2 linked regions of the Struthio camelus genome follow. The protein of the gene in region 1 interacts with the protein of each later gene in a pairwise test. Links are inferred from orthologs where the notes say so. Each region holds a gene or a part of one and is shown on either strand. Other genes may lie near its edges.

Region 1 (15,374 bases):
ATTTAAATGATTGGCTTCTCTCAACCATTGGACAGTTTGCATATTTCTTATTCTTAAAAGTTGTAATTTGAGATGATCATATTCTCCTTCATTCCTTGACCCTGAGTCATTTCGTTTCTAGGAGGTTTTGTACCCATCTATAATACCGCAAATGAAGTCTTATGCATCTGCAAATTATTTGCCAGTCTCTATACAGTCATTACAGTACAATTTTTTTTATTTGGATCGGAATCAGCCTCATCTTTATACTGCTTCATTTAGTTTGCATCTTGCCTTCGTTTTCTTTAACATCACCCTGCTCCTTGTTTTAATTCAAAAACATTCTGAAAAAAATATGTAATGTAGGAACACAACAGGATACTCATTGCACTCTATGTCATCCTATAATCATATCATTTCCTACAGAGAGTCACAGTAGCAGGGGATGTGCATTCAAGCTTACTGTCCAATCTTTTAAATAAGGAATTGCCATGAACTTTACTCTATTATAACACTTCTTAGGCTCCTAATTTGCCAAAACACTTGTGTTCTTGATTAAGAGATATAGGTGTAATTATGAACGTATAGTCTTGACAGTGTATGCATGAGAAAGGACCCAAATGATATGAAGGACCCATATAAATATATATATATACACACATATATATATGAATGAAATTTTTATTTACAAATGAAAAACAGTTCCCATTTTAAGCAACTATATCTGCTTTTTAAAATTCATTTTAATTTAAATCTTTATTTCCGACCTCATGACAATATCTACACAAATCTATAAATGTATCTGCCTTCCAGTCCTTGAGCTCCTGCAGTATTCCACAGTACTTCTCCTTCCAAAGGATGCAAAGAAGCTAAAAATAATCTTGCTATTTATACCTCTGTTTTTAGACATTATCTACAGTGAAAATTTTCATAGTATATCAAATTTATTTCTTACCTGACTTTTAAAATTAGAACATTCACCAATCCTACAGAATTCATTTAAGTAACATGAAGAAGCATATAAGACTTTCATTACATCTGATTATGGAGAAGATATTTCATGTTCAGGTTCTACTTCAAGAATGCTCCTTTTGACATGCAAAGAACTACTTGGCCATAGTATATTTCCTTTTAAGGGGTTCAAATTGTGCACCTACAGAATAATTTACGTCAAAGAAAACATTCTGCTGAACTACTGCACAATAACCAGTTCTAAGCTATTTCAGAGAACTGCCAATCTAAAATTTATTGTGATTTTTCAGACAAACCTAAAGAAGCCTTGCACACTGCAGTCACAATCCTCCCTGATTAAATTCAACCAAGCGATCCTTTTGCTGATTTTACCCCTTAATGTCCTCCTAAATCTTATTTCATCTTCAAATGCTGAGCAAGACCATTTGTTCAAAACAAGCTGATTACATGCAAATCACTGCAAAACATGAACATAGAAAATACTATGTCATAAACAGTTGTTGCAACGGTGATCAAGTCGTTTACCATTTTACCTGAAAGTTTACAGGAAAAATTTAAAGACTTTCTAGTATTTTCAATGATCAGTTCTCTAGTTCTACTCAAATATTATCGCTTTGAGAATATCATTGTTTTGAGAATATTGTTTCGCTCAAGACAAGAAAAGAGTAATAAATTACTAAATAAGCAGCTCACCTGATAGCACACCATACAGATATTCAAAGGCTTGATACTAGCCCTTGGTATCAGCTTGAAGTTCTTGCTATAAGAATCTCAGACCTTTCCAAACTGAGTAAGAAGCCTGAATATATAACTCAATCACTCAATTTCTAGAGATGTGACTTTCATATTTGCTTTCTTATATATCCACCAACATATTTTCAAATACAACAGGAGGACTGGAGCTATTACTGGATACATGAACATCTTATACATGTTTTAGTGCATTACTGTATCAATACTAAAGTACTAGGAAAAAAGCTTCAAAATAACCTCTGGAAAAAAAAAAAGGCTTCAATTCTGACAGGACTAAAACTTGCAAGCAGGTAACAGAGTCAAGGTAAAGGACTATTTCAGCAAGTGTCTGCAAGTTTTGCTGTTAATATTAATGTCAGTATACTCTTATCAGCAAAAGGAAATTGGATAATGATGATTTTTATCAGAACTGGGGCAGGGAGGGAAATTTATACTTTTAAACCACGATGTAATGCAACAGTGATCTAAATGCACAGGTACTTAGGTTTTAAAAAACAGAAAAACAGAATTAATGAACTATATCTATTTAAAAATGGCAACAAAATATATCAAAACCAAATAGTTTTGTTGTACACTGAAATTCCAAGCTAAAGAAAGACAGCATACAAGCCAGTATATCTCTGCAGAATTTAATACTGACAGATATTTAAAGCATTCTCTGCCTCCACAGAACTACTTCATGTCTTAAGTAAAAACCCATTACCAGGAACAAGTTTGAGAAAGAGTGCATAACCGTACAAAAAGTTAAGGATTTAACTATCATAATACTATATGCATTTGATTTACCAAATTTAATTACCACCAAATCACAAAATAATAGCAAAAACTGCATTTTTGTTTGCAGTGATGTTCAACATGTATTATTTCCACAAAAAATTAAAGTGACAAGTTATTTAATTGTCATATTCTGCCACTGAGTGATAACTTCAGCTAGTAGCATTTAAAGACCAAGGTTTTTAAATGCCGGTTACTTGCTGGCATTCAAAGACCAGCAAATAACTGTCTCTTATACAAAATCTTTTCATCAGACAACCTCAAAGTACTATTAGATAATTATCCTGATTATCTTTCTTATACTACAGATTAAATACCCAGATATATAGAAAGGGGAACTAACCTGCAGAGTTTACCAATAAGCCCAGAGGCTGACCTAGGTGGGGAAAGATCTCACGTACTACTCTCATGCCCTATTCATCAAATTACATTACTACATGAATATCACTCAGAGAATGTTTGTTCACAAGGAACAGACGATTTTGTGGAGTTCTGTTTGGATACTTTCTATGTTTGGTTTTTTCAACCTGAATTCCAGAGTATTCGCTAGGTCAACGAAGCGGTCAGTTTCTCTCCTTGTCGCAATGGTACCTTCGTGCTTTACGACAGAGCACACCAGAACGGAAGCTGGGAAAAACTGAGAAGTTACACAAGCTGTAAATACTAGTAGAATCTCTTAATACACTGGAATAGAACGATGACAATGTCATCAGCATTAAAAAGAACAGTACCCTTTTAGTAAACTGAATTACAAAACACCTTACTCGGATTCTTGTTCTTCTAAAGAAGAAGCTGAAGTGATAGCCATCAAGAAACATCTTTTATTTTTTTCAGTGCAGAAGATTAACATGGATTCATTAGTCTACAGATGAAAGAACTCCCATTAGTTAGCTGTGAGAGAGCAATCCCACTACTTTCTTTGATTTAATAGTACCAAGTACGAAGCACATATATTTATTCTGACAGCTGTACTTTGGATGGTTCATGCTGGAACATGTTGAAAAAGTATCTGTGCAGCATTGTTAAATTTATTGGCACAGACATTTCCAAAGCTCACAGCAAAACATACATTTTAAATTCTGATCAATTATGGAAGTCTGGGCAATTCCCTCTGAGTTCTGGTACATGTTAATTTTCAACAGAAATCTCAGTAAAATTTACTCACATTATCAGCAAGCAAACATACACATCTTTCTCATCAACTGTGTTGATTAGAGTACTTTATTATCCTGTATTTGAGTTAGATTCACCCAACATAAGTTTCAGGTCTACTTCAGAGATGCAAACTGAATAATGTCTCAAAGGTACAATTTTTGTAAGATACCAATATGAATAAGAACAAGTCTGAGCACAGCAGTATAACTACTAGTATTTTCCATTATTCTCTATTATTGTCTACAAAAACTTACGAAAAAAAAAGTATTACACCTTAAAAACTGCAATCTCATCTCCTGGCAGCATGAATATATATACATACATACACAAACTGAAGGCCTATAAATAACCTCACCCCTATATTTCTCCTCTTAAAACAAAGAGGCTGTTAATACTATAAATAACTCCTATTACCATATACTACCATGGCATTACATAAGCTTGTAGTCAAGAACAAAAATCAAGTCCTTTAGTTGACTAGTCATTCCCCAGACTGGCCCAAAGCAAACAGATCTCTTCTTGCTCTTCTATATCAGGACGCAAAGGAAAAAATATGGCAGTGTACTGATATTTAGGAGACCTTGGTTAATATCCCAGCTTTATCTTTGAAACAGCAGAAGACACTGAGCTTCACAAGCACTATCACTCAGCCCTTTTGGAAGAGACAAGAAAGATGAACTGTAATCCTTTATCCACCCCAAAGTAGCAGAACCGAAACTCCAAAAGATCTGTTTTGTCTCCGACTGTTGATAATGGCATAACAGGAAGATTTAAGGGACGGTTGTCTGGAACTTGGACCTGGAGAATTCCGTTCACCCATAACTCTATTCTCTGCCATGAGACTATTAAGAATCTCCAAAGGTTTTAATGTGAACGTTATAGCATAACACTTGTTAATCTTCCTATCACTGAAACTAAAATGAGGAAATACTGAAATATATTGGAAAAAGTTGATGATAAAGTTACATTTTGACATATATTTTACTAGATGGATTTAACACAGTTAACGTTTCTCTCATCAAAATACCTATTTGTGATTTTTTTTTACAGTCTCCATGAAAATTCCATCAGTTGTTAAACAAATCCCCAAAATGTTGCAGAACTGACTCTTCAGAGAACAAACGATCACATTTACAGTATTCTCAACATTGCTCCATTTTGTTTATTTGCAAAATGCACGGGGGAATAATATAGAGCTTGAGAAAACTTGTTAAAAAAAAGGAAGCAACTCTCTGTATCATTAGCAACGAACAAAGTTTATAGATTTCATACTGTATGCTTAAGATGGCCCTATCTGTAATCATTGTAATTTTTTTATATTCATCTTCCTTTACCCATGCTTACCTTCCCTACAGATAAAAGAGCGTGTAAAATCCTATCCAATGAGTCAGTTAAAAATACACATCTGAATCATACGTATATTCTGAATATAACTTTAAAGTCAACAGGGATACTATTAATATATATAACTAAGAAACTAGCTGAGCTGTTTGTTATTAATCAACTAATCTGTTCCACTTATCTACCACAGAAGTCACAAGACTTGTCCTGCGTGTCTCCTTTATTTCTATGTTCTCCCTTTTTAAATGAACTATTTAGGTATATTAGCTATTATACGCCATTGCTTGTCTTATGTTTTAGAGACTTTTTTCCCCCCTGTAAAGGGATTTAGTCTCTTAAATGTTTGGCTTTTAAAAAGAGGTAAAGTTTACTTGATCCATAGATATCCTTTACTTACCCATACAATTCCATATACACAAATTTGTTTCCGAAACTCAGTACTGCTGTTTGTTTCACAGCTGTGCTCAAGGATCATCACTTTGTTTTGCTAAACTCCATAAAATTAAAGTCCTTGCCTCACAGAGCTTCCCGTACGTATGCGTTATGAAACAGGCAGATATAACAGACCACTGACATTTGACGAAAAACGACAGGAGTGGCTTGAACAATTTTAACAGAAGAGTAAAACGGCCAAAAAGTTGACTGAATACGTAAGTATACCTGCTCACGAAGTAAAGTTCCTGCTGAAGTATTTCTGTGAACACTGCTCTATGAATAATTGTTTCCAAACGTTTCACACCACCCCTGGGGGAGCTCCTCTCCCCCTCCGCCCGCCCTGAGCGGTATCTGTCGCACTTGACACGTGTCGTTTGCCTATCATCTCGGGACAGAGGCTCAGCCTTCCTCTTTCAGCAGGCTCTTATCTTCAGCCTACGGCCAAAAGCAAGTCCTTCTCCCTCCCTCCCCGCGGCAAAGCCGACGAGGGGCCCACGGCACAGGAAGCCCAGCCCACCCCCGGGACCGGGCAGCGCTGCCCGTGGCGTGCGGCGCCGCCGCCACCGGCCCCTCCCGGCTGCCATTTCGCAGGCAGGTGCCCGTCCCTCGGCGGCCGCAGCGCACGCAGCGCCGCCGCCAGGGGCCGGCCCGGCCGGGCCCGCCGCGACCCTCCCCTCCTCCTCGCCCAGCCGGGCTCCGCAGGCCCCGGCCGCTGCCCCCCCCTCGCCAGAGGCCGCGCCGGGCCCGCACGCAGGCCGCCGCCGCGGCGCGGACAGGTGCAGCTCCCCGGGCGGCCGCCCCAGGCCCCGCGCACCGGCCTCCCCACGCGGGAAAGCCCCCGCTCTGCCCGGCCCCACAGGCGGACACCTCCCGCCCCCCTCGCGGCGACGGGCCCTGGCGCACCCCCGGTCCGGGCCGCGCACGGCCATGCCAAGCCGAGCCAGGCCGGGCCGGGCTAGGCCGGGCCTCCGCCGCCGCCGGGCCCAGCTCCGCGGGCCGCCTGCCTGCCTGCCCGCCCGCCGCGGCAGCCGCCTCGGCCCCGCGCCCCCTCCGCTCCGCCCCAGCCTCGCCTCACCTCTTTGGGGACGAGCTGGTTCTCCTCGCTGGGCACCATGGCCGGTGGCGCGGCCCGCAGCAGCCGGAGCGGAGCGGCGCCGTCGTCAGCAGCGGGAGGCGGGGGGACGCCCACGGCGCAGCCTCCACCCCCACCGCCGCCGCCGCCCTCCGCCGGCGCCAATCAATGGCAAAATGGCCGACGGCGCCGCTCTCGCGAGACCGCGCGGCGACGCCGCCTGCTCGCCCGGCCCCGCCGCGCGGGTGCGCCACGGCCCCAGCTCCGGCGCCGGCCGCTGCGCGCGCGGGGCGGGGCGGGGCGGGGCGGGGCGGGCGGTGTGGGGCAGTGCGATGCGGGGGGCCGGGGGCAGTGGCGGCCCCTGCGCGGGGGGACGGCGGCGGCGGCGGCGGCTCTTGGACCGCGCGTTGGGCGCGGCCTCTGCCCGCCGCAAGCTTCGCGGTTGGCGGGGCAGGTCGGGCGGATGAGCGAAGGGGTAAAGTTAAGTTGTGCCCGGTAAGCGAGAGAGAGCAGGCGGTTGTGAGCTGTACGCTGAGGAGTGAGCGATTCCCTTCAGGTGCGGGAGGGAGTTTACGGGGGGGGGGGGGAGGGGGGTTGCTTCGGGCGTGGGGTTTCTCCGCCCGCCGGCGACGGCGGGGCCGAGGCGGCGGGTGCGAGGCCTCGGTGCGCTGCCGGCCCGCTGGAGGCGGGCGAGGCCTGGGCCTAGGGCGGCCGGAAGGGCAGGGCAGGCGCGGAAGGGCGCCCGAGAGTCCGGCGGGCCGCGCCACGCCACTGGCACGCGCTTCGCCGCGCGCAGGTGCGTCGCCCCGTGGCAAAGTGGGATGAAGGGCGTGGGCTGTGGTTTCAGTGAGCTCCTCCAGTTTGCGTTACTCATTTTCTCTTCGCACCTGGATGGGGTTTACCCACCACTGAATGCGGGGCTGGAAACCAACAGAAAGAGTGCGAAGGTAAAGTAGGTGTCATCCTGCTAACGCACGCGCGCTTGCTTTGTGCCCAGAAACTGTTCTTTGAAATAGGGCTGTGAAATTAAGCACGTGCTTGCTTCGTTGTAAATTTAAGGCTAACAGCGCACTTTCAAAGGAAATACAAGGATATTTCTTCGGTATGCATTAGTTGCTGGTTTTGTCTGCAAAAAACTTATGTGTATCTGTGTTTTTGTGCTACCTCAGGCACATTAGAAATCAAATATTAATCTTCAGAAAGACTAGAATGCGCAATAGGAAAAAGTAATTATACATTAATGTCAACTGTGAAATAGTTCTTTAACTGGAAAGCATGGTACTTTGCAGTTAAAGAAGAGGTATATGTTTTCATAGAAATATTTTTCTCATTGTTTTAGTGTCCTCTTGTGGAAGAATGCAGGTTTGAGAACACCTCTTGATTTTATGTCCAAAAAGTTTAGCATTTTAGGGTAATTCTTGAGATCTCTTGTATTCAGGATTACTGGAACTCTGTTGTGGAGATTAAGTAAAATAAAGTGACCTCATTTTCCTTTTATATTTTTTTTTGTAGTATAAAATGTGTAACTCCTCAGGTTCCTGACTGTCATCCTGCTTTCTAGAAGGTGAGCAGTAGCATGTTTTGGAGTCAGTATGTAGTTGTGAACGTTTGAAAAAGTGTTCAAAGAGGACACTTCCATAAATAACAAAGTCAGTAGTTTTGTTTTCATCTTACAAGTGTGTTATGGTAGATGGTACATTTCATAGCTTTTATGAATTCTGTTTCTTGAACTAAGCACAGAAATCCTCTTGCTGAATATTTACATGAATCATTTAATATTTCAGCCTGCTCCTGATGTGTTTTGGCTACACAAATTGATGGGTTTAAATTATTTATGTAGTAAAGGTGAGTGAGTTCTTAGAGTTAGGAATTCTTCCTCTTTGGTGTTGTAGCGTGTAGCATCTTAAAGTCCCTCATCTTAACAAGACATTCCAGCCCTAATATATGAAGTGAAGCACCTAGACAGAAACTTAGGAGTACCTTACTTTTAATGATATTTTATGTTAGCTCAGTGTTCTGTAGAGCTACCCCTCTACAGGAGGGAAATGATATGGAATGATTCTTTTTTTATGAGAAAGGAAGTATGAAATTAATGAATTGTTGTCTTTTAGAGAAGATTTCTTTTTGTTAATGACTAACAGTTATATTGCTGATTGAGGGGTTAGTTTGTTTTTTGAGCGAGACTTCACTAAATATTTTGGTGGTAGCAAAGATATAATTCTACAAATAATGAAAAGTAGTATCAACATTTATAGATATTGAGAGAAGCACAGCCCACTGGTGATCCTTTGTTGCCCAGTGGTGTCCAAAGATCCATGAAATCAGCAAGGGAGTACTCGAATGGAAAAGCCAGAATAGGCATGTGGGCGTGCAAGAGAAAGGAGATACAGTCGTGAAGGAACTGGCTGGGAGGCTCCGAGGATGGTGTGTGACTATCATTACGCCACTGATGCTCCTGTTTTGTGTGTTTGGTTTTTTAAGGGGCCAAAGACTCTAGACCTTGAGGGATTTTTCCTCTTTTGCACAAGGGACCCAAAATCCTGGAGTGAGAAGTTTTCAGAGATGGTACTTTTTGAATTTCTTTTGACTTCCTGAGGTGTTACGGTCTTGTTATGTTTTTTGCTGCTTTCTGTGCTTGACTAGGGGCAAAGCCATGAGACTCGATGGCTTTAAATATATTACGCTATCGGGATAAAGAGGTAGCTACCACAAAACTGTCTCTGCTAGATAAGAATCAGGATTTTTCCAGCCATTAGAACTGTACAAACACCAAGTGTAGCATGCGTGCATAGAACATCTTTAATGGTGTAATAATTTCTAGTTAATAATTAAATGTCTGTGAGCTTTTGAAATTTGTGGATGCTACAGTATTTAATCTCTGCATGTGAGACTTTAAAAAGGAGCATTCATAATTCAAGTTTCATGGAGGGAATCCTGGTCTTATGTATATGCTAATTAACATAGCACAGGTTTAACTCGTTATTAACAGTACAAAGAAACTGATATCTCAAGCTAAAAATGATACCAGATTTGAGAGTATAAGTGAAATTCTTAGGCTGTTGATTGTCAAACAGTCATTCAGAGATAGTTCATTAGTGAATGACTGAAAACTGACGTACTTCAGCACTTGTGACTGTAAGTGCCACTTTTTACTAGGTTTAGTGCAATGCGTCACTGAAGCACAAGAAGGCATACATCACGTTAACGAAAATACAGTTATGCTCCATTGACGTTGCAGAGTAAATAGCATGTCCTCGCTATAAGAGAGGATGAACTTTTAAGTTAGCTTGCGGGAACTGGATACCTCCCTCTCCATAGGCTATTTCAAAACTGTGCTTCAGTCATTTCTCCTACAGTGAAAAAATTCACATGCTGCTGTTCCAACACCCATGTCCAAGATTTGATGGGTAGTGAAAAAAGTTGTAAAAACTAAATGGAGGGAATATTGACATACATCTCTTATGCTCAACCGTATGCCAAAACGGTAGGGGTGCAAAATCTTAAGAAAATGTGTAAATGTCAGAATACAAACTGATGTTGGTTTTGATCACAGTAATATTACCTCAATTTTTTCATTAAAGCCTGTGTAAAGAGGTAGCATACATGAATATCATTCATTTGGGATGTCTTCTTTCAAGCACTTCAGCTCTGATTTTTCAAATAGACTGTTGGTGGGAGGTTTAGTTCCCATTTCAGAGGTTGGTGACCTTATCATTTATGGAGCCAGCACAGCCGTGCGTGTCTTTCATGGTTTTGCTCTATTAAAAAAGCTTGAAGTTTGATATTCATTAGCAATTTGCCAAGGGTTGCAAAGTGAAATAGCCATTTCATATTTGCTAACACTAGAAACGTGGCCAGATGCAGCATTGTTTTAGAGCTCTTCTGTATTGTCAGTGCTTTAAAGAAGGCAGCTGCAAGCCTCTCCCCTCTTCAGTCTTTGGAAAGTCCACTTCTACTGATGGAAGCAGAGATTTGTAAAAGTTCAGGATATCACAATCCACCAGTGCATTGCACTGCCAGTCACTTTGTTGTTTCAGCCTCAAGTAACTTTTCCAGAATCGCACAGGCAGCTCTGAAGCATTTCTCAGAAAATCTTAGGCCGTCTCCTTGCCTACTGACTGCGCCATCCAATCCTTTCCGGATAAAAAAAAAAAAAAAAAAAAAGCTATAAAATTTGCCTTTGTATGGCTGAAGTAAAGATAGGGTAAGGGCAGAAGAGGGGTTGGTAGAATTTATGTCAGGTGGAGAAGAGACAATTATATCGGTTTCTGAAGGTATCTCCAAAGATGCCTTTTGCTAGATTTCCATTTCTTGGATTTTAGCTCCCTAAATGTGAAGCAGGCCAATAAAAATCTAGGAATAAGGAGTAAATTACTGGTGAATACTGGTCTTTAAAAAGGGACCACTGATTACTTTTACTTCTTCTGTAATTGTTGTTAGAAAGAGGTTTTTACATTTTAGCCTTTTATTGGATCGTTTCTTGAATGTGTTGAGACTCAAGAGCTGGAATCAGAATATTGTTTAAAGATAAAGAATCATTGCATAATCTTCTATGAACTGTATCTAAAAGGAAAATGCCTGTGGTCTACCTTCTAAAGAAGTATGTGCAGAATATTAAGAATAAAAAAAATCCTACTCTAATGTTAGAATGCTGTGGCAAATTAAAGCTTTAGATTAACTGTGGAGATTAACTATGGAAAAGGTATGCACTCCTTTTAAAGAGATTGTTGTAGGAGACAGTCTTGTAGGTGTAGTAGGAGAGTAGGTAAGTAGCCTTCTCTGAGAGAAGTTGAACTTCACAAGGTTAAAGAAAAAAAAGCTCAGTTTTAAGGTAACTTGTAAACATTGTCTTGTAAATGTTTTGCTATTCTTAAGTAGTGTTTTCTGCTATAATCTCTGTGAGCATGCAAGTGCTTCTCTGTTCTCTAGCGCTGTAATCCCTTTTAAGTCCTTTTTAATCAAAAGCAGTTGGAGATTATTTTAATTAATTATTAATCAGCAACCAAGATTCGTTGACGTTTTTGTTAAAGATTATCTTCCTACACCAGTTTCAAGACACTGAGCATTCAAGATATTAGCTTGTGAAGTTAGTTTTCTTTTCCATGATAGCATTAATCTTATGTATGAATTATCTAAGGGATTTGAAGGTTAAATTACAGGTGTAATTACAGGGAAATAGAAATCCTGCGGAGAATTTTGCAGGACCCAGGATTCCTGTATTAACGCTATATTGCAGCATCAATGTGACTTACAATTTTCAACACTGTGTATTTAAAACTACAGAGCAGTTTCTGGCATTAGCAGTGTAAACAAAAGTATTGACCTCTCAATGCGCTTGTCAAAATCCTCCTGGTGGTACTGGGAGTAAAACATATGCACTGGCAGGACAACTTTCACTTTGTGTGGTGTGAGATTGGAAACAGATGTGGGCCGGTATCATGTAGAGTTTGAGGGATCCCAGAAAACCTCACACTGATTTTGATGCCTTAGGCTCATGGCCAGAGTGCAGTAGGGAGCCTACCGTAGCTCCTCTACCTAAGATGTGTGCGCAAGCTAGGAAATCTGCTGTCTCTTTCTAAGCATACAGACCAATAAGGTGTACGGCATACCTCTTTTCTTTTTGGAACGTGGGCTGGTATGTTATCTAACCCTGTCCTGTAGAGCAGGGGGGTGGCAAGGGGCAGATGTGTCTGTCCGCACCAACGTAACAAAGGCTTAAGTGTGGGAAAGCAAAAAGAAAGGCAAATTGCCTTGAATGCATACCGTGAAGGTAATGTCAGTCACTGAAATCATTCAGTGACTTCAGAGGTTCAAAAAAAAAAAAAACCTTACAGTGACATAGCCAGTATATTAAAAAACATTGAATTAACACTTACGGCATACGAGGATTGCTCTTGGAGAGTCACCATGAGAGTGCAAAGGCAGCACTAAATAAGACTCTGTAATGTGCAAAAATAACAGTGGCTTAGCTTCACGTGGGACTGCTCTCAGCATGGACACTCGAAGTATTTATAGCTGCCCTTGAGCCCAGGAGAGTTAAACGGTTCAGGCTTGCAGTAGGGGTTCCCAGTGACCCTTCAGATTAAATTTGATGATGTTTAACATTACTGACAAGTGCTAATTATACTGCTCACAGTTCTTTGGGCATGCAGGGGGTGGTTTTCCATCCTCAGCGAGACCTAACACATAGGGACCATTTGCCTTGACCCAGACTTATGATCCTGGGTGGCCTTCCCCTGAATAAGAAGTGATTTCTTCACGTTTTCTTCCCAAGGTGCCAGGACTGTCACTGTAAAGCGGTAGCTGCCTGGACCTCGCCACATGCCATCTCATGGCTCTGGTGCGTGCAAGGGCAGGACCACAGCAGGATGTGAGCCTTGGGTTCCCTCGTTTTGCAGCCTCTGCTGTGGGGCCCCTTGCCCTGTCCCAGGATAAGAACCTGCCAGCCTTTTCTGCAGGGGTAGTGGGAGGACAGCAAGAAGGGGCTGTCACCTCTCTTCCCATTCCTGTATAAGTGGTGCTTAGTGACAGGGCTTGGATACCCTGTCTGCATTGCTCTGTGCCTGCACAAGTCATTTTCTTCCCTGGTAAGGGAAGAAACTTTGTAGTTTGGGAAATACTGGGAGGGACTGGGTTATTCTGTAGCAGTTTTAGGAAGAGGAAGAGTTGCTCTTTAGCTATGGGTCATTCTTCCTGCCAGGGTTTTCCTCCTATCCTTTCACAGGATGCTCATGTGTGCACAGCCCTGTGGCTTTCTGCTTGTGGAGATACAGCTTGCAGAGAGCAAACATCGTATTCCCACAGGGACATGGCACAGGGTGTGCCACAGTGAGACATCCCTAAAGCAGCTTTTAAATGAAGAAGGTTTCTTGGGTTTTCTGCCTTTGCTTGTTGGTTTTATTCTCAGGTGTCACAGACGGGAAACACATCTGCAGGCTTTCTGTCTGCTTCAGGTTGTTGCAAGAGTAAGAGGAGCTTAAATAAAATATCTTAATTTTAGACCTTATGTTCAGCTCTGAAAGGGATGTTGTATGTACAGAGCTGTTGGGAGGCTTGGCCTAAAACCCTCTCTGCTGCTGGCTCTGTGGTTCTCTAAGCTCAACCTTGTCCTTGTTTTGCAATAGGCTGTCTGCTGAGCATCTGTAGCGTTCTGCGGCTTTAAGGCCTCATCTCCTTGGGGGTTGCTGGGGGCTTTCTTGCACGAATTAATGTAGCTTTACCTCTGGCAGCAGCAAAGGGAGCTGCCAGAGGTCTGACATAGCATTTAAAATGTCAGCTGCCGGTCTCCGGCAGCTGCCAGCACTGGAGCTCTGGCATAGGGAATGCTGTCAAAGGATGAACACAAGGAATGTCAGTGTGGACATAGTGTGAGTCAGGCTGGGCTGGGACTTGTCTACAAAGTATCCTCAAACTGGTAAAACACTGTCTGAAATCTCCCAGCAAGTTGTCTCCTGTTCTGCTTGGGTCATAGGATCGGAAACAGTATGGACTCTTGACTGTTTTTTAAATTCAGACTGGAGTATAAGTAGCCTGTCAGAGTATGGGATCTGCATGGATACAGTAATCCTGTGAAGCTAGGGGTCTCTCTTCTGAGTGAGAGATTAAAACAAAGCACTAAGTAGTGAGAATTTTAAGAATCTGATTTCTGTAAGCAATCTCATTTTGTTCACATGTGTATGAACGATATTTTTTTTTTTTGAAGTGACTTTTCATCTAAATGTTTGGAGTACATCTGTTGGTTGAACTGAATTAATGTGGGGGGAAAATAATAATAATAAAAAATTATAACTCCTGTCCTTGTTTGTCAGCACTGCCTTTCAGGAAGATGCCTCTTGAGAGCAGGTGTTTCCCCAATATTTTAATTGAAACATTTGGCAGCAGATCTGACTCCGAAATGTATGCACTTTTATATGAATTTGGGTTTCCAAATTGGTGCTAGCACAGGATGTAAATTTCTTGCTATACTATTACTACTTTGCCCATTGCAAAATAATTGTGACAGTTGTTAAGTTCACTACGTAACCATTTGCCTGTTACTCTGATTTAGATTGGGCTTGTTAACTGGCTCTGTTAGATGTAAGCACATCTGAAATGCCTACATAGAGACGAATTACAAATCTTTTGAATCAGATCCAAATCCATTCATGGGGCTTAGCTTTTCAGCAGAGGGTTCTTCTAAATGCTGATGTTAAGGGAGGAGTGCTCCTTGTTTTTGTTTTTTTTTTCCCTTTGGTTGGCAAGTAATGTAGGGTGCGTCCATGGAGCGGCAGGGGTGTATGAATCGGAAGGGTCTCTGTGCCATACTTGTAGCTGCAGTGATGAACTGGGCCCTATATAGTATTTACCACTTTTTTTTTTCGTAGGGAATGAATGTTTACCATTGTTTATCCAAGAAACTTACCCCTTTCTTTTCCTGTGCCTTCACTCATGTGCTGTTTTTGTGTTCCTTATGGTAGCAAAAGATTTACAGTAAGCAGCCCGAACAAATTTTAAAGTGCTAACATCAGTGTATAGAGTTTTGATACAGACAGTAAAGGAAACACTTAATGGAAATCAAATTCCAAATACGCTGTTGGGAAACCTGTCTACCAGAATAAGAGAGAGCCAAAGGCATGCATGAACTTGTTGATGTTCTAGGTTTACTACCGCATACAGGAAAGTTTGCATAACATACACACACATACATACACATCCTACTCTGCATCCAAGATCTGTGGTGTATTGTGGATTTTTTTTTCCTTCTTAGTCTGCGAAGGTTTCTGAAATGGAGAAAATGCCAACATCATCAAAGGGTTACCTTGTGAAAACTGCCAAGAAGTTATTATCAAAGATAATAGAAGTAAGTCACATTTGTCTTTTAGGACTTTTTTGGCCTGTTCTGACTGCTGAATAT
Region 2 (14,567 bases), on another chromosome or scaffold:
AGAGGCGGAAGGGCAAAGGCGCCGGGATGTCATCCGCCAGCTGGTACTGCATGAGCGTGAGCTGCCCCGGGTGGGGAGGGGGAAAGGGGGTCAGGATGGGTGCCCCCCCATCACCCTAGGGTGCCCCCCACCCATCCGAATCCTCACCTCACCCTGGCTCGGGGTCACCTTGAGCACCCGGCCGCTCTCGAACTCGTCCAGCTTGACGGCGCCGTGGAAGGCGCATTCATCCACGCGGACGGCCGTGCCGTAGCCTTGGTGGGGGGGGGAGGCGATTTTGGGGGCAAAAAAGGACGTTTAGGGTTTTTTTTTCCCCCTTGGGGGGGAGTTGGGGGGGGTGGGACGCACCTCGCACCTCCGACTTGCCCACGCAGAACTCCTCCGTCAGCCCGATGCGCATCTCTGCGGGGACGCGGCGGTGTCACCCACCGGGGTGGCGGGGGGACGGACACGGTGGTGGCGGGTTTTGGGGTGGGGGGGGACACCCAGCCCCGTACACCCAATGCCGCTGGGGACCCCCCCCCCCCCCCCCGCTCACCGCAGCAGCTGGGCACGTAGCACTTGAGGCGAATTTCCCCCTGGACGTCCACCTTCGTGGGTGTCCCCTGGGGACGCGGGGACGAGGGGTGAGCCGGGGTTGGGGGGGACGCGGGGCGTTTTGGGGACATGGGATTCCCCCCCCCCAGGCTGAGGTGTTGGGAGGGGGGACATGGGGGGACACGGGGTGCTTTGGGGACAGGGAACACCCCCAGGCCGAGCAAAGGTGCCTCGGGGGGAGACACGGGGTACGTGGGGCACTTTGGGGACAGGGGACACCCCCAGGCTGAGCTGAGGTGCCTCGAGGGGGGACACAGGGGGGACACGGGGCGCTTTGGGGACAGGGGACACCCCCAAGCCAAGCTGCCTGGGGGGGGACACGAGGGGGACGCGGGGCACTTTGGGGACAGGGGACACCCCCAAGCCAAGCTGCCTGGGGGGAGACATGAGGGGGGACGCGAAGTGCTTCGGAGACAGGGGACACCCCCAGGTCGAGGTGCCCGGAGGTGGGGGGACGAGTGGGAGGGAGGGGACACTGGGGGGGGACGACCGAGCGGTGGCCCCGTCCCCACTCACGTTGGCCGCGATGACCACCGTCAGCCTCTCCACCACGTCCACGAAAACCTCGTTCTTGGCGCCCTGTGGCCGCAGAGACAGTCGGCGGTGACACGGGGACACCCGTGGGGCGGGGGGAGGGGGGACACGGGGACACCCATCGGGTGGGGCGGCAGGGGGGGGGTCCTACCTGCTCCCCCCGAGGTGGCAGCACGGGGCGGCTGGCGGCCGAGCTGGGGGCCACCTTGCTCTGCTGCGTCTCGGCGCCGAACTGCAACGAGGAGGAGGAAGAGGAAGGGGGCGTTCGCCGGACGTGGGTGCGAGGGCACCCATGGGTGGGGTTGGGGGGGGGGGTTGGGTGCTCACCAGCCCGATGGAGCCCAGGTCCAGGAGGCTGAAGGGTTTGGTGGCCACGGGCTCCGTGTGCATGAAGTTGCGCAGCACCTCGGGCGCCGTGGTCTGGATGTAACCGTAGTCCTGGCGGGGGGGGGGGGACACACAGGGATGTCCCCGTGTCCCCCCCTCCCCCAGGGGTGTCCTCAGCCCCTTTGGGTTGTCCCCAGCACCCTAAAGATGCTCCTGAGTGGCCCCCCCCACAAAGGTGGCCCCCCAGCTCTCTCTCTAGGGTGTTCCCACTACCCCCCTCTAATGTCCCCGTCACCCCATGGGGGTGTCCCCACCACACTCAGGTGTCCCCATCACCCCCAGAGCTGTCCCCAGCCCCAGGAGAGTGTCGCTTGGCCTCCCCCATCATGTCCCCAGCTCCCTCTAGGGTGGCCCTGGTCCCCCCCCCCAAGCTGTCCTCAGCAGGGCCACCACTACCCCAGGGTGTTCCCACCTCCCTCTGTGGTGGCTTCAGTCCCCCAAACTGTCCCCAGCAGGGCCACCACCACCACCCCAGGGTGTCCTCACCTCCCTCTGAGGTGGCCCCAGTCTCCCAAACTGTCCCCAAACTGTCCCCATAGTGTCCTCATAGCACCCCCAGCAGGGTCACCACCACCCCAGGGTGTCCCCATCTCCCTCTGAGGTGGCCCCAGTCTCCCAAACTGTCCCCAAACTGTCCCCATAGCCCCCTCAGGGGGTCCACCACCACCCCAGGGGGTCCCCACCTCCCTCTGAGGTGGCCCCAGTCCCCCAAACTGTCCCCATAGCCCCCCCAGCAGGGTCACCACCACCCCAGGGTGTCACCACCTCCCTCTGAGGTGGCTCCAGTCCCCCAAACTGTCCCCAAACTGTCCCCATAGTGCCCCCAGCAGGGTCACCACCACCCCAAGATGTCCCCAGCTCCCCCCGGGGTGGCCCCTGTGTCCCTCCCAAGGCATCCCCAGGGACAACCCCACGCCCTAGGGGTGTCCCCGTCACCCCGTAGGGTGTCCCAAGGCGCCCACCCACCAGCATCTCGTCCAGGAGCTCGTAGACGAGGGCGAAGTTGAGGGCGACGTTCTTCTCGCTGAGGGTCCCGCAGCAGTCCCGCAGCAACGTCACCAACCTGCGCCGGCGGGCCGTCAACGGGTTCCCCCCACTCTGCCGCGTCCCCTCCTGTCCCCCGGTGTGTCCCCCCCACCCCCCGAAAACCCCCCCTCCCCATACCTATTGAGGAACTCCACCAAGGTGAAGGGCGACGCATCTGGCGCGGCGGTGGCCACCACGTAGAGCCCCGCGTGCCGCACGTGGACAAAGTGCCGGCCCTCGTGCACCTGCGGAGGTGGCGGGTGGGTGGTGGGGGGGGCGAAACGGAGCTGGGAAGGGTGCTGGGACCCCTCCCCCACCACCACCCCGTTTCAGCACCCTACCACCACCCTCACCATGAAGACGGGAGCTTGGTCGCCCGGCAAAGCCGTGATCTTCTTGTAGAAGGTGTCGGCGAGGTCCTGGCTGGTGGCACCGGCCTCGCCACGGACCGGTCTGCGGTTAAGGAGAAGCAGAAGAAGGTGGGGAGCAGGGGGGGCAAGGGGGACCCCTCCCCAACCTCTCACCCCATCCCACCCACCCAGCACCCACGCTGGAGCAGGATACAGTCCTTATGGATGAGGCGGTCGCCCTTGGAGGAGAGGATGAAGAGCTGGGAGAGCATCGCTGGCCTGGCGGGAGGCGGAGGGGGTGGCTCGAGTGGGACCCTCCCCCCCTTCCTTCACCCCGAGACCCCCCCCACTCACCCTCTGGCCACCTTTGGGTGCTACCAGGGCTCTGCACCTTCGAAAGAGCTCTGCGCCCTCCAGGTCCTGCTCCCCACCCCACCAGGACCCAGCACCCATCAAGTGCCCCTTCATCAAGACCCAGTACCCCCAGACACCCCCATCCACCCCCCCCACACCCAGCACCCCCCCAAGGCTCCAGCACCCCCAGAGCCCCCCATCCACCCCCCCAGCACCCCCCAAGTGCTCCCCCATCAGGACCCAGCACCCTCTGACCCCCCCCATCCCCCCCCATCCTCCAGCATCCCCCCCAAGGCCCCAGCACCCCCCAAGTGCTCCCCCATCAGGACCCAGCACCCCCAGACCACCCATCCATCCCCTCCAAGGCCCCAGCACCCCCCAAGTGCCCCCCATCCACCCCCCCAGCACCCAGCACCCCAAGGCCCTAGCACCCCCAGAGCCCCCATCCACCCCCCCAGCCCCCAGCACCCCCCCAAGGCCTCAGCACCCCCAGATCCCCCCATCCCCCCTCAGCACCCAGCACCCCCCCAAGGCTCCAGCACCCCCAGAGCCCCCCATCCCCCCTCAGCCCCCAGCACCCCCCCAAGGCCTCAGCACCCCCAGATCCCCCCATCCCCCCTCAGCACCCAGCACCCCTCCAAGGCTCCAGCACCCCCAGAGCCCCCCATCCCCCCTCAGCACCCAGCACCCCAAGGCCCTAGCACCCCCAGACCCCCCATCCAGCCCCCAGCACCCCCCCAAGGCCCCAGCACCCCCCAAGTGCCCCCCATCCACCCCCCCAGCACCCCTCCAAGGCCCCAGCACCCCCAGACCCCCCCATCCACCCTCCCCAGCACCCAGCACCCCCCGGCCCCGCCCCCCCGCAACCGCGGCCCCTTTAAGAGGGGGCGGGGCCAGGGCCCCCCGCGGGTCTCCCCGAACCTCGGTCCCGTCCGGCCGCGCGGGGGAAAGCGGGAGTCACGTGACGCGGCCCAAAGGAGGCGGAGCCCGCGCCGGGCCGCCTCGCCCCGCGATTGGGCGGGGCCGCGCGGGGCGGGGCGAAGGGGGCGAGGCCGGCCCCGGATTGGCCCGCGGGCGCCACGTGAGGCGCCTTTTCGCGCCACTTTTGGTTGCGGCGGCCGGAGCCGGAGTGGCGGCGCTCAGCGGCGTTGACCCCTGCAAGGTCCCGTACCGGGCCGCCGAACCGTGAACGCGACTGACCGGGCTTGACCCTTACGGCCACCCGTCACTGACCCTTGCCGCGACCCGTACCGACGCACAGAACCGGAGCCTCACTGATTGGGCCTCACCCCTACGGGCACCCGTACCGGAGACGCCGAACCGGAACCACACTGACCCCCACCGGTCCCCGTAGACCTCCCCGCCATGGCACCGCGCGATTACACCGCCGAGAAGGGTACGAAGACCCCCCCCCCCCGGAAGCCGGGACCGGCAGCGCGGGGCACTTCCGGGGTCGGGCGACCACCTGTGGCTTTGTTTACCGGGCCCGGGGGAGGGGGGGCGTGGGGACACCGGGACACCGGGCCTGACATGTCCCCTCCCTCCCGCAGATAAGGTGAAGCGCTTCCTGCAGGAGTTTTACCGCGATGGCGACTTGGGCAAGGAGTTCCCGTACCGGGACCAGCTGGTGAGAGATGGGGCAGCACCGGGCCGGGGTGGGGGGACCCTCGGGGGGGGGCTATTCCCGCCCCTGTCCCCCCACGGAGCCACCGGTGACAGCGCCGTGCCAGATTGGGGTCCCTTGTCCCCTTAGAAGAGCCATGGGTGCCACCATTGGGCTGGATGGGGGTCTGTCCTTGTCCCCATTGCGCTGGTAGCGTCACTGGGGGGACCCATGTGTGAGATCGGGGGTCCCTCGTCCCCCTAGAAGAGCCACGGGTGCCACCACTGGGCTGGATGGGGGTCTGTCCTTGTCCCCATTGCACTGGTAGCGTCACTGGGAGACCCATGTGTGAGATTGGGGGTCCCTCGTCCCCCTAGAAGAGCCACGGGTGCCACCTCTGGGCTGCATGGGGGTCTGTCCTTGTCCCCATTGTGCTGGTAGTGTCACTGGGAGACCCACGTGTGAGATCGGGGGTCCCTTGTCCCCCTAGAAGAGCCACGGGTGCCACCACTGGGCTGGATGGGGGTCTGTCCTTGTCCCCATTGTGCTGGTAGTGTCACTGGGGGGACCCACGTGTGAGATCGGGGGTCCCTCGTCCCCCTAGAAGAGCCATGGGTGCCACCTCTGGGCTGGATGGGGGTCCGTCCTTGTCCCCATTGCGCTGGTAGTGTCACTGGGAGACCCACGTGTGAGATTGGGGGTCCCTTGTCCCCCTAGAAGAGCCATGGGTGCCACCTCTGGGCTGGATGGGGGTCTGTCCTTGTCCCCATTGCGCTGGTAGTGTCACTGGGGGGACCCATGTGTGAGATTGGGGGTCCCTTGTCCCCCTAGAAGAGCCACGGGTGCCACCTCTGGGCTGGATGGGGGTCCGTCCTTGTCCCCATTGCGCTGGTAGTGTCACTGGGAGACCCACGTGTGAGATCGGGGTCCCTCGTCCCCCTAGAAGAGCCATGGGTGCCACCTCTGGGCTGGATGGGGGTCTGTCCTTGTCCCCATTGCGCTGGTAGTGTCACTGGGAGACCCACGTGTGAGATCGGGGTCCCTTGTCCCCCTAGAAGAGCCATGGGTGCCACCTCTGGGCTGGATGGGGGTCTGTCCTTGTCCCCATTGTGCTGGTAGTGTCACTGGGGGGACCAACGTGTGAGATCGGGGGTCCCTTGTCCCCCTAGAAGAGCCACGGGTGCCACCTCTGGGCTGGATGGGGGTCCGTCCTTGTCCCCATTGCGCTGGTAGTGTCACTGGGAGACCCACGTGTGAGATCGGGGTCCCTTGTCCCCCTAGAAGAGCCATGGGTGCCACCTCTGGGCTGGATGGGGGTCTGTCCTTGTCCCCATTGCGCTGGTAGTGTCACTGGGAGGACCCATGTGTGAGATCGGGGGTCCCTCGTCCCCCTAGAAGAGCCACGGGTGCCACCACTGGGCTGGATGGGGGTCTGTCCTTGTCCCCATTGTGCTGGTAGTGTCACTGGGGGGACCAACGTGTGAGATCGGGGGTCCCTTGTCCCCCTAGAAGAGCCACGGGTGCCACCTCTGGGCTGGATGGGGGTCCGTCCTTGTCCCCATTGCGCTGGTAGCGTCACTGGGAGACCCACGTGTGAGATTGGGGGTCCCTTGTCCCCCTAGAAGAGCCATGGGTGCCACCTCTGGGCTGGATGGGGGTCCGTCCTTGTCCCCATTGCGCTGGTAGTGTCACTGGGAGACCCACGTGTGAGATTGGGGGTCCCTCATCCCCCTAGAAGAGCCACGGGTGCCACCTCTGGGCTGGATGGGGGTCTGTCCTTGTCCCCATTGCACTGGTAGTGTCACTGGGGGGACCCATGTGTGAGATCGGGGGTCCCTCGTCCCCCTAGAAGAGCCACGGGTGCCACCTCTGGGCTGGATGGGGGTCTGTCCTTGTCCCCATTGCGCTGGTAGTGTCACTGGGAGACCCACGTGTGAGATTGGGGGTCCCTCGTCCCCCTAGAAGAGCCACGGGTGCCACCTCTGGGCTGGATGGGGGTCTGTCCTTGTCCCCATTGCGCTGGTAGTGTCACTGGGAGGACCCACGTGTGAGATCGGGGGTCCCTCGTCCCCCTAGAAGAGCCACGGGTGCCACCTCTGGGCTGGATGGGGGGTCCTTGTCCCCCTCCCAGGCTGAATCAGGCTCTCTCCTGTCACCCGCTGGAGCTGCGGGTGATGCCCCCGTGCCAGCCGGGGGTCCTTCCTCGCTCCCCCAACCCCTCCCACCCTGTCCCCCGCAGGCCGCGCTGGCGCACCGGGACCAGGTGGCCCTCTACGTGGCCCTGGACGACGTGGCCGAGGACGACCCCGAGCTGGCGGACGCCGTGTGCGAGAACGCCAAGCGCTACAGCCGCCTCTTCGCCGACGCCGTGCACGAGCTGCTGCCCCAGTACAAGGAGCGCGAGGTGCCCGAGAGCCGAGGCGGGGAGGTGTGGGGACACCCCGCTGTCCCCTCCTGACACCTTCCCTGTCCCCGTTCTACCCCTAGGTGTCCCGCAAGGACGTGCTGGACGTCTACATCGAGCACCGGCTGCTGCTGGAGCAGCGAGGCCGCGACACCGGTGAGACCCGCAGCCCCCAGAACCAGTATCCCCCGGAGCTGCTGCGACGCTTGTGAGTGCTGAGAGGGGGACCAGGCTGCCACCCCGGTGTCCCCGCCAACCCCATCCCTGTCCCCGAGCGTCCTCGCGAAGCCCCATCCCTTCTTTGCCTTGTTTTTGTCTTGCTTTTTTCTCTAATTCTTATACCTGTTTCCTTTTTAATTCCATCTCCACTTTTCTTTCTTCTCCATCGCTTCTAATTCCCGATTCCTATCTCCTCTGATTCCTCCACCTTAAACCCCCATCCTGTCACCTACGTTCCCCCCTAACCCATGTCCCCATCCCTGTCTTCTTGGTGTCCCCCCTCCTGACCCCCGTCCCTCCCGCCCCAGCGAGCTCTACTTCAAAGCCCCGTCGACAGCCAAAGCCCGCGTGGTCCGCGACGTCAAAGCCGACTGCATCGGCAAGCTGGTGACCGTCCGCGGCATCGTCACCCGCGTCACTGAGGTCAAACCCATGATGATCGTGGCCACTTACAGCTGCGACCAGTGCGGAGCCGAGACCTACCAGCCCGTAAGCTCGGCAGGGACGGGTGGCTCCCGCCAGCCCCAGGGGGAAGCGGGAAGGGGCATCAGCTGAGCTCTGCCGCTCTCCGTAGATCCAGTCGCCTACTTTCATGCCTCTCATCATGTGTCCGAGCCGGGAGTGCCAGACGAACCGCTCCGGCGGCCGCCTCTACCTCCAGAGTCGCGGCTCCAAATTCATCAAGTTCCAGGAGCTGAAGATGCAGGAACACGTGAGGAACACGAAGCGACGGGACGCCACGGCGCGTGGCTCCGGGGCTTTCGGGTGGTGGTGGGTGGGGAAGAGATCCCTTCAACCAGGATCGCAGAGCTGGGAGGGAATTTTGGGGTTTTCCTCAATGACCGCGGTTTGGGCTTTGGTATCCAGCTGAGGACAGAAGGTCCCTTCTTGTCTGGGCCTCGTCCCCGTTCCTCTTTGAGGACGACCCGAGCCTCGTCGAGGAGGCGATGGCATCAACGCAACCCCCTTTCCCTGCCGCCTCTTGGCATTTCTTTTCCTACCCAGTGTTCCAGCCCCGCAGCTGGTTGCTCCTGCACTGGGGAGCCCCAAACTGGTCCCAGTCTCCAGCTGAGCTTTCCCCCAGCGCAGGATAGAGGGGGATAACCCTTCCCCTGGCGCTGTCACTCAGCGCAGAGCTGGTGGCATCGCGAGTGGCCCCTGCAGGCTTCAAGGCGCCAGGACACCTGGGTCATATTTTTTCCCCTCAGTTCGTACTGGTGCAGGGGGTGATTTTTGGTTCGGGGGTGACGGCAGCAAGCTCCAGCTGCGGCTCCCGGCACCCGCATCTGCGGAACGGCCGGTTCCCGGGCCGTGGGGAGGGGACACGACGGCGGAGCTGGGGACCCACCGCGCTCACCCACCGCGCTCACCCACCGCGCTCACCCACCGCCCTCCGCAGACCGACCAGGTGCCGGTGGGGCACCTACCCCGCTCCATCAGCGTGGCTGTGCACGGCGAGAACACCCGCTTGGCCCAGCCCGGTGACCACGTCAGCGTCACCGGCGTTTTCCTGCCCCTGCTGAAGACCGGCTTCCGCCAGGTCACCCAGGTAAGCGCTGCCGCGACGGGCTGGGGTGGGGGGCTGCGGTGGCCCTGCCCCGAGCCCGCCGTCACCCTCCTGTCCCCCAGGGGCTGCTCTCAGAGACCTACCTGGAGGCCCACCGCATCGTGAAGATGAACAAGAGCGAGGAGGACGAGTCAGGGGCTGGGGAGCTGACCGAGGAGGAGCTCCGACAAATCACAGGTGAGATTTTGGGCGCTGCTGAGCCGTTGGCACCCCGAGATGCACGCGAACTAGGTTTAAAAAACGCCCAGAGCTGTCCTGCAACAGGGCAGCCGGCCGCCCTCAATGCCCTCCCTCGCTCCTTTTGCAGAAGAAGACTTCTACGACAAGCTGGCCTCCTCCATCGCCCCCGAGATCTACGGCCACGAGGATGTGAAGAAGGCGCTGCTGCTGCTGCTGGTGGGCGGCGTGGACCGCAGCCCCCACGGGATGAAGATCCGAGGTGAAGCCGTGCTGCTGCGCGCCGGCAGGGCGTTTGGGTGGGGAAGACGCGGCTCCGAGGGCCTCTTCCCTCTGGCGCGGGAAGGTTTCGGGGTCCGGGATGAGCCTGAGGGGATGAGAAAGGGACTCGCTAGCTGCGACCGAAGGATTCGGGGTGGAGGGATGAAACGGCTCCGTCCCTGATGGCAGAGAGGGACAGTGTCTGCCCTGAGGACTCACCGTTTCCCTTCCCCCCCCACCCAGGAAACATCAACATTTGCCTCATGGGGGATCCCGGCGTGGCCAAATCGCAGCTCCTGTCCTACATCGACCGCCTGGCACCCCGCAGTGAGTACGGGAGGGCTAGGAAGGGCTGGGACCCCCCCCTTACCGAGCCTCCCCGGGGCCTCTCGCCGCTGTCCCCCATGCGAGGACCCAGCTCTGGTCCCCTCTGTGCTCCTCCAGGCCAGTACACGACGGGCCGGGGTTCGTCGGGCGTGGGGCTGACGGCGGCGGTGCTGCGCGACCCGCTGACGGGCGAGCTGGCGCTGGAGGGCGGCGCGCTGGTGTTGGCCGACCAGGGCGTCTGCTGCATCGACGAGTTCGACAAGATGCTCGAAGCCGATCGCACGGCCATCCACGAGGTGATGGAGCAGCAGAGCATCTCCATCGCCAAAGCGGGCGTGCTGGCCACCCTCAACGCCCGCTGCGCCATCCTGGCTGCCGCCAACCCGGCCTACGGTCGCTACAACCCCAAGCGCAGCCTGGAGCACAACATCCAGCTACCCGCTGCCCTCCTGTCCCGCTTCGATCTGCTCTGGCTCATCCAGGACCGCCCCGACCGCGATAACGACCTGCGGTGAGTCGGGACGGGGAACTGGGGTTGGATAGGGGACCGTGGGAGCTGTGGGACCGGACGCAAGGCCGTGGGAGAATGCGTTTGGGGGAACGGTGAAGCTTGCGTGGGAGCCATGGGGCTGGGTTGGGGGCTGTAGGGTGCGTGCGGGAGCCGTGGGGCGACTCCGGCACCTGCCCCCAACTTTTTTCCGCCCCGCAGCCTGGCCCAACACATCACCTACGTGCACCAGCACAGCCGCCAGCCGCCTTGCTCCTTCCAGCAGCTTGACATGAAGCTCATGAGGTGAGAGCTGCCCACCCACGGACGCTGGGAGGCGATGTGAGGTCCCCTCCGCGGGCCTGACCCTGCCCCTCTCACCCCTCAGGCGCTACATCGCCATGTGCAAGCGGAAGCAGCCCGCCGTGCCCGAAGCTTTGGCTGACTACATCACGGCCGCCTACGTGGAGATGCGCAAGGAGGCCTGGGCCAACAAGGACACCACCTACACGTCCGCCCGCACCTTGCTGGGCATCCTCCGCCTGGCCACGGCCCTGGTGAGCCCCCGTGGCGGGTGCGGGAAGGCAGGGCCGGGCGAGATGGGGTTAAAACAAGGACCTAGAAGGACCTGCGTGGCCTAAGCGAGGCAAGAGGGGACCAGGCGAGGTGAGACAGGGCCGGGCAAGGCAGGACGAGGCTCGGCGAGGTGAGACGGAGCGCGATGGGACAAGGTGAGGTGATACCAGACCAGCAAAGTCCGACCGGCCAGGGTAAAACGAGGCAAAAACAGGCAGGATGAGCCCAGGCAAGGTGGGGAGACCGAGCCGGGCCAGCCCTCGTGGTCCCACGGAGCTGCAGCGGCCGTCGGGTCACCGTGCCGCGTCCGTGTCCCTGTCCCCGACGAGTCCCGGGGGCCCCAAAGTGCTGTTTGTGCAGGTAGTGTGTGTGCGGCATCTACTGCCGAGGCAGCACTCCAGAGCCCCCGGGGCACGGCCAGCACCGGCACGGCTCCCAGCGTCCCTTCCGGGGATGTGGCCAGCACCAGGGCCGGCTCCTGCCGTCCCTCAGCGTCCCCTGCGCCATCCTGGAACGTGGCGCCGGTTTGGGGACTGAAGTGGTTTGGGGAGCACCTCGGGGCTGCGATGGGGAGCCCTGGCAGGCTCTGTGGCTGTGCTGGGTGATTTTTGGGGTGCCCCAGGGCTGTGGGGGGGCTGCTTTGGGGACCCTGGTGGCTGCTGACCCCCTACCCGCCCCTCTTCACCCTGTTTATTGCAGGCCCGGCTGCGGTTGGTGGACACGGTGGAGAAGGAGGACGTGAACGAGGCCATACGGCTCATGGAGATGTCCAAGGACTCGCTGCTGGGGGACAAGGGACAGCACAGCCGGTGAGCAGGAGGGGGGCCACGGGGAGGGGGAGGTGGCGTGACCCTGGCCCCATGTCCCCCAGGAGGCCGTGGGGTGGCCAGGGAGGCGGTGGCAGCACTGGGACAACCGTAACCCCGTCCTCTGGGTGGCCATGGGGTGATCAGGGAGGTGGTGGCCATCCTGGGACAGCCCTGACCCCGTCCCCTAAGTGGCCAGGGAGGTGGTGGCTGTCCTGGGGCAGCCCTATACCTGTCCCCTTGACCCCTGGGCGGCTGTAGGATGGCCAAGGAGGTAGTGGCAGCGCTAGGGCAGCCCTGACCCCATCCCCACGTCCCCTAAGTGGCCAGGGAGGTGGTGGCTGTCCCGGGGCAGCCCTATGCCTGTCCCCTTGACCCCTGGGTGGCTGTAGGACGGCTAAGAGGAGGGCGGCAGCCCAGACCCTCTCCCCAGGGTGGCTGGAGGGAAGCCGGGACAACCCTGACCGCATCCCTGGGGCGGCCGGGGTGACAGCAGCTACCCTGACCCTTGTCACCTGTCCCCAGGATGCAGCGGCCAGCTGACGCCATCTTTGCGGCGGTGCGGGAGCTGGCGGGGGGCCAGGGCCGGGCGGTGCGCTACGCCGAGGCCCTGCAGCGTTGCCTGGCCAAGGGCTTCACGCCGGCGCAGGTGCAGGCGGCGCTCGACGAGTACGAGGAGCTCAACGTGCTGCAGGTGAACCCGGCCCGCACTCGCATCACCTTCGTGTGACGCGGGGACAACCTAATGCCCTCCCCTCCAAGTCCTCCTGCCACCCGACAGCAGCCCCCTGCGGCACCTTCGTTTGCCACCGGGACGCGTCCTGGCGTTACCTGACATGGGGACATTCCCCCCCCCCACCATCACCCTCGTCTGACACAAGAACGTGTTCTCCGTCACCTTTGGGTGACGCAGGGTCATGCGGCGATGTCCCCTTGGGGGGGATGGGACAGGCTCTGGCTTTGTGGCACTTCCGTCACCTTTGCCCTGTCATCTTCTGGTACTGTTACAATTTCTCTCCTGTTTCTTATTAATAAAAACCTGCTTCTTACTGATTTTGGAGCCAGGGTCGTGGCTCCCTTGCTGCCACCATCTGCCTGTCACCGCTTTCGGGGACCCGTTCCCTTGGGGACAGCCCTGCCACCGCAGGGAGGGTCACGGGATGGACAAAGTGACACCACCGGAGCCCTTAATTCCTGCCCCGGAACCGCGTTTTATTAGGGAGGGGACGCGTGGGGACTGTCCCCTTGCGCCTTCCCCCCCCACCCCCAGCTCCAGGGAGGAGGGACACAGTTCTGGGAGGAAGAGGGTGTCCAGGGGTTGGGGGAGGGGTCTTCCTTTCCCCCTCCCCCTCCACTAGAAGAAGAGCCCCCGCATGCGGCGCCCGATGCCTTGGCGGTCGTAGAGGATGTTGAACTTGTTGACGAACTGGTTCATGGTGTTGCAGGTCTTGGTGATGGTGCCCAGGTAGGCCATGAGTCCCACGTCGTTGCATTGCTGGGGACAAGGCGGGGGGGGACACGATTGGGGGGGGGTTAGCGAGGCTGTTGTCACCCCAAAACTACCCCATGGTCCCCCCCGATGTAAATACAGCCACAGGGGGAGGGACAAGGATGTCCTGAGCACCTAGTAGCGGGATGTGACCCCCCCTTCTCACCCACCCACCACGGAGGATTGGACCCTCCCAGGTGCTTCCTAGGGACAGGGACACAAGAGAGGGACACGGGGACCCCCAAAACGGGTCGCTCACGTCGTAGAAGTCCGTCTTGAACTTGTCGGTGCTGAGGACGGGCAGGCAGTGGCACAGGGCGTAGGCCTCGCGCAGGATCTCGTGGTTGAAGGGCACCTCGCCTGCGGGGACCCACGTCAGCACCCGGCATGGCCCTTGTCCCCTTCGGGGACACCTCTGTCCCCCCTTTGGATCCCCAACTCACCGGCTTCGGAAGCCCGCACGTACTCCAGGATGAGCTTGACCCGGCTGTGCAGCATCTTGATGGCGCTGTGCTGGGCGATGAGGTGCTCAGCCACTGCGGGCGCGAGGTTGGGGGTCAGGGCCAGGTGTCCCCTAGGTCCCTCGTGTCACCCCTTCCGGCCCTGCCAGGACCTGCTCGCCTCGTCCTCGTGTCCCCTTTTCCAACTGTGTCCCCGTGCTCCCTCGCAAGCCTAGCTCATGGCACCTGGGCTGTGTCCCCCAGCCCCTGCGCCCCTGTCCCCCCCCCCCCGTGTCCCTGTCCCCCCTGTGTCCCCCCCTCCCCGTGTCCCCAACCTGTGGAGTTCTCCCCGCTGCCGGTGGCCGTCATTCGGGCCACGTGGTCGACGCCGATGCGCTCGGCCTCCTCTGTGGCCAGTGTGTAGGTCAGCTCCGCGAACAGCATGGTGGCCTGGGGTGGGGGGGCGGAAGGGGGGGGTGTCATGGGGATCCCTAGCAGTTCCCCCCGCCCAAACCCCCAGGCAACCTCCCTGGGTGCCCCCTATGACCCCAAGCAACCTCCTTGGCCCCCCCCCGACCCCCAAGCAACCTCCTTGAGCCCCCTGAACCCAGCAGCCCCCCCCAGACCCCCAAGCAACCTCCCTCAGCCCCCCATGACCCCCAGCAGCCCCCCGACCCCCAAGCAAACTCCTTGGACCCCCTATGACCCCCAGCAGCCCCCCCGAACCCCAGGCAACCTCCATGAGCCCCCCCGACCCCTAGCAGCCCCCCCAACCCCCAGACCCCCAAGCAATCTCCTTGGCCCCCCCGACCCCCAGCAGCCCTCCCGACCCCCAGACCCCCAAGCAACCTCCTTGGCCCCCCCCAACCCCCAAGCAACCTCCTTGGACCCCCTATGACCCCCAGCAGCTCCCCAACCCCCAGGCAACCTCTGTGAGCCCCCCCCGACCCCTAGCAGCCCCCC

What was found.
Region 2: the proteins of USP47 (region 1) and AP4M1 interact in binary tests that used the Homo sapiens proteins (3 or more experiments, as listed by UniProt). The two-hybrid records come from large-scale screens. The link is inferred for Struthio camelus from reciprocal best matches to the Homo sapiens genes USP47 and AP4M1.

The regions. Positions count from the first base shown.
Region 1 is NC_090946.1:24,844,328-24,859,701, reverse strand, and holds the start of USP47 (ubiquitin carboxyl-terminal hydrolase 47), read right to left. Parts: upstream 6,674-15,374; 5' UTR 6,524-6,673; coding exon 6,485-6,523; intron 5,858-6,484; exon of another isoform or gene 5,635-5,857; intron 1-5,634. Other genes in the region: uncharacterized protein, read left to right, coding at 7,303-7,428, 15,228-15,320. UniProt on the Homo sapiens protein: Ubiquitin-specific protease that specifically deubiquitinates monoubiquitinated DNA polymerase beta (POLB), stabilizing POLB thereby playing a role in base-excision repair (BER). Acts as a regulator of cell growth and genome integrity.
Region 2 is NC_090978.1:593,162-607,728, forward strand, and holds the start of AP4M1 (AP-4 complex subunit mu-1), read right to left. Parts: upstream 4,257-14,567; 5' UTR 4,170-4,256; intron 3,365-4,169; exon of another isoform or gene 3,249-3,364; intron 3,174-3,248; 5' UTR 3,167-3,173; coding exon 3,109-3,166; intron 2,993-3,108; coding exon 2,898-2,992; intron 2,790-2,897; coding exon 2,683-2,789; intron 2,582-2,682; coding exon 2,485-2,581; intron 1,570-2,484; coding exon 1,459-1,569; intron 1,364-1,458; coding exon 1,283-1,363; intron 1,177-1,282; coding exon 1,114-1,176; intron 606-1,113; coding exon 539-605; intron 403-538; coding exon 349-402; intron 255-348; coding exon 148-254; intron 62-147; coding exon 1-61. Other genes in the region: DNA replication licensing factor MCM7, read left to right, coding at 4,614-4,644, 4,799-4,875, 7,091-7,255, 7,339-7,463, 7,783-7,963, 8,049-8,186, 8,874-9,023, 9,104-9,218 and 7 more; COPS6 (COP9 signalosome complex subunit 6), read right to left, coding at 13,030-13,170, 13,424-13,524, 13,608-13,700, 13,940-14,054. UniProt on the Homo sapiens protein: Component of the adaptor protein complex 4 (AP-4). Adaptor protein complexes are vesicle coat components involved both in vesicle formation and cargo selection. They control the vesicular transport of proteins in different trafficking pathways.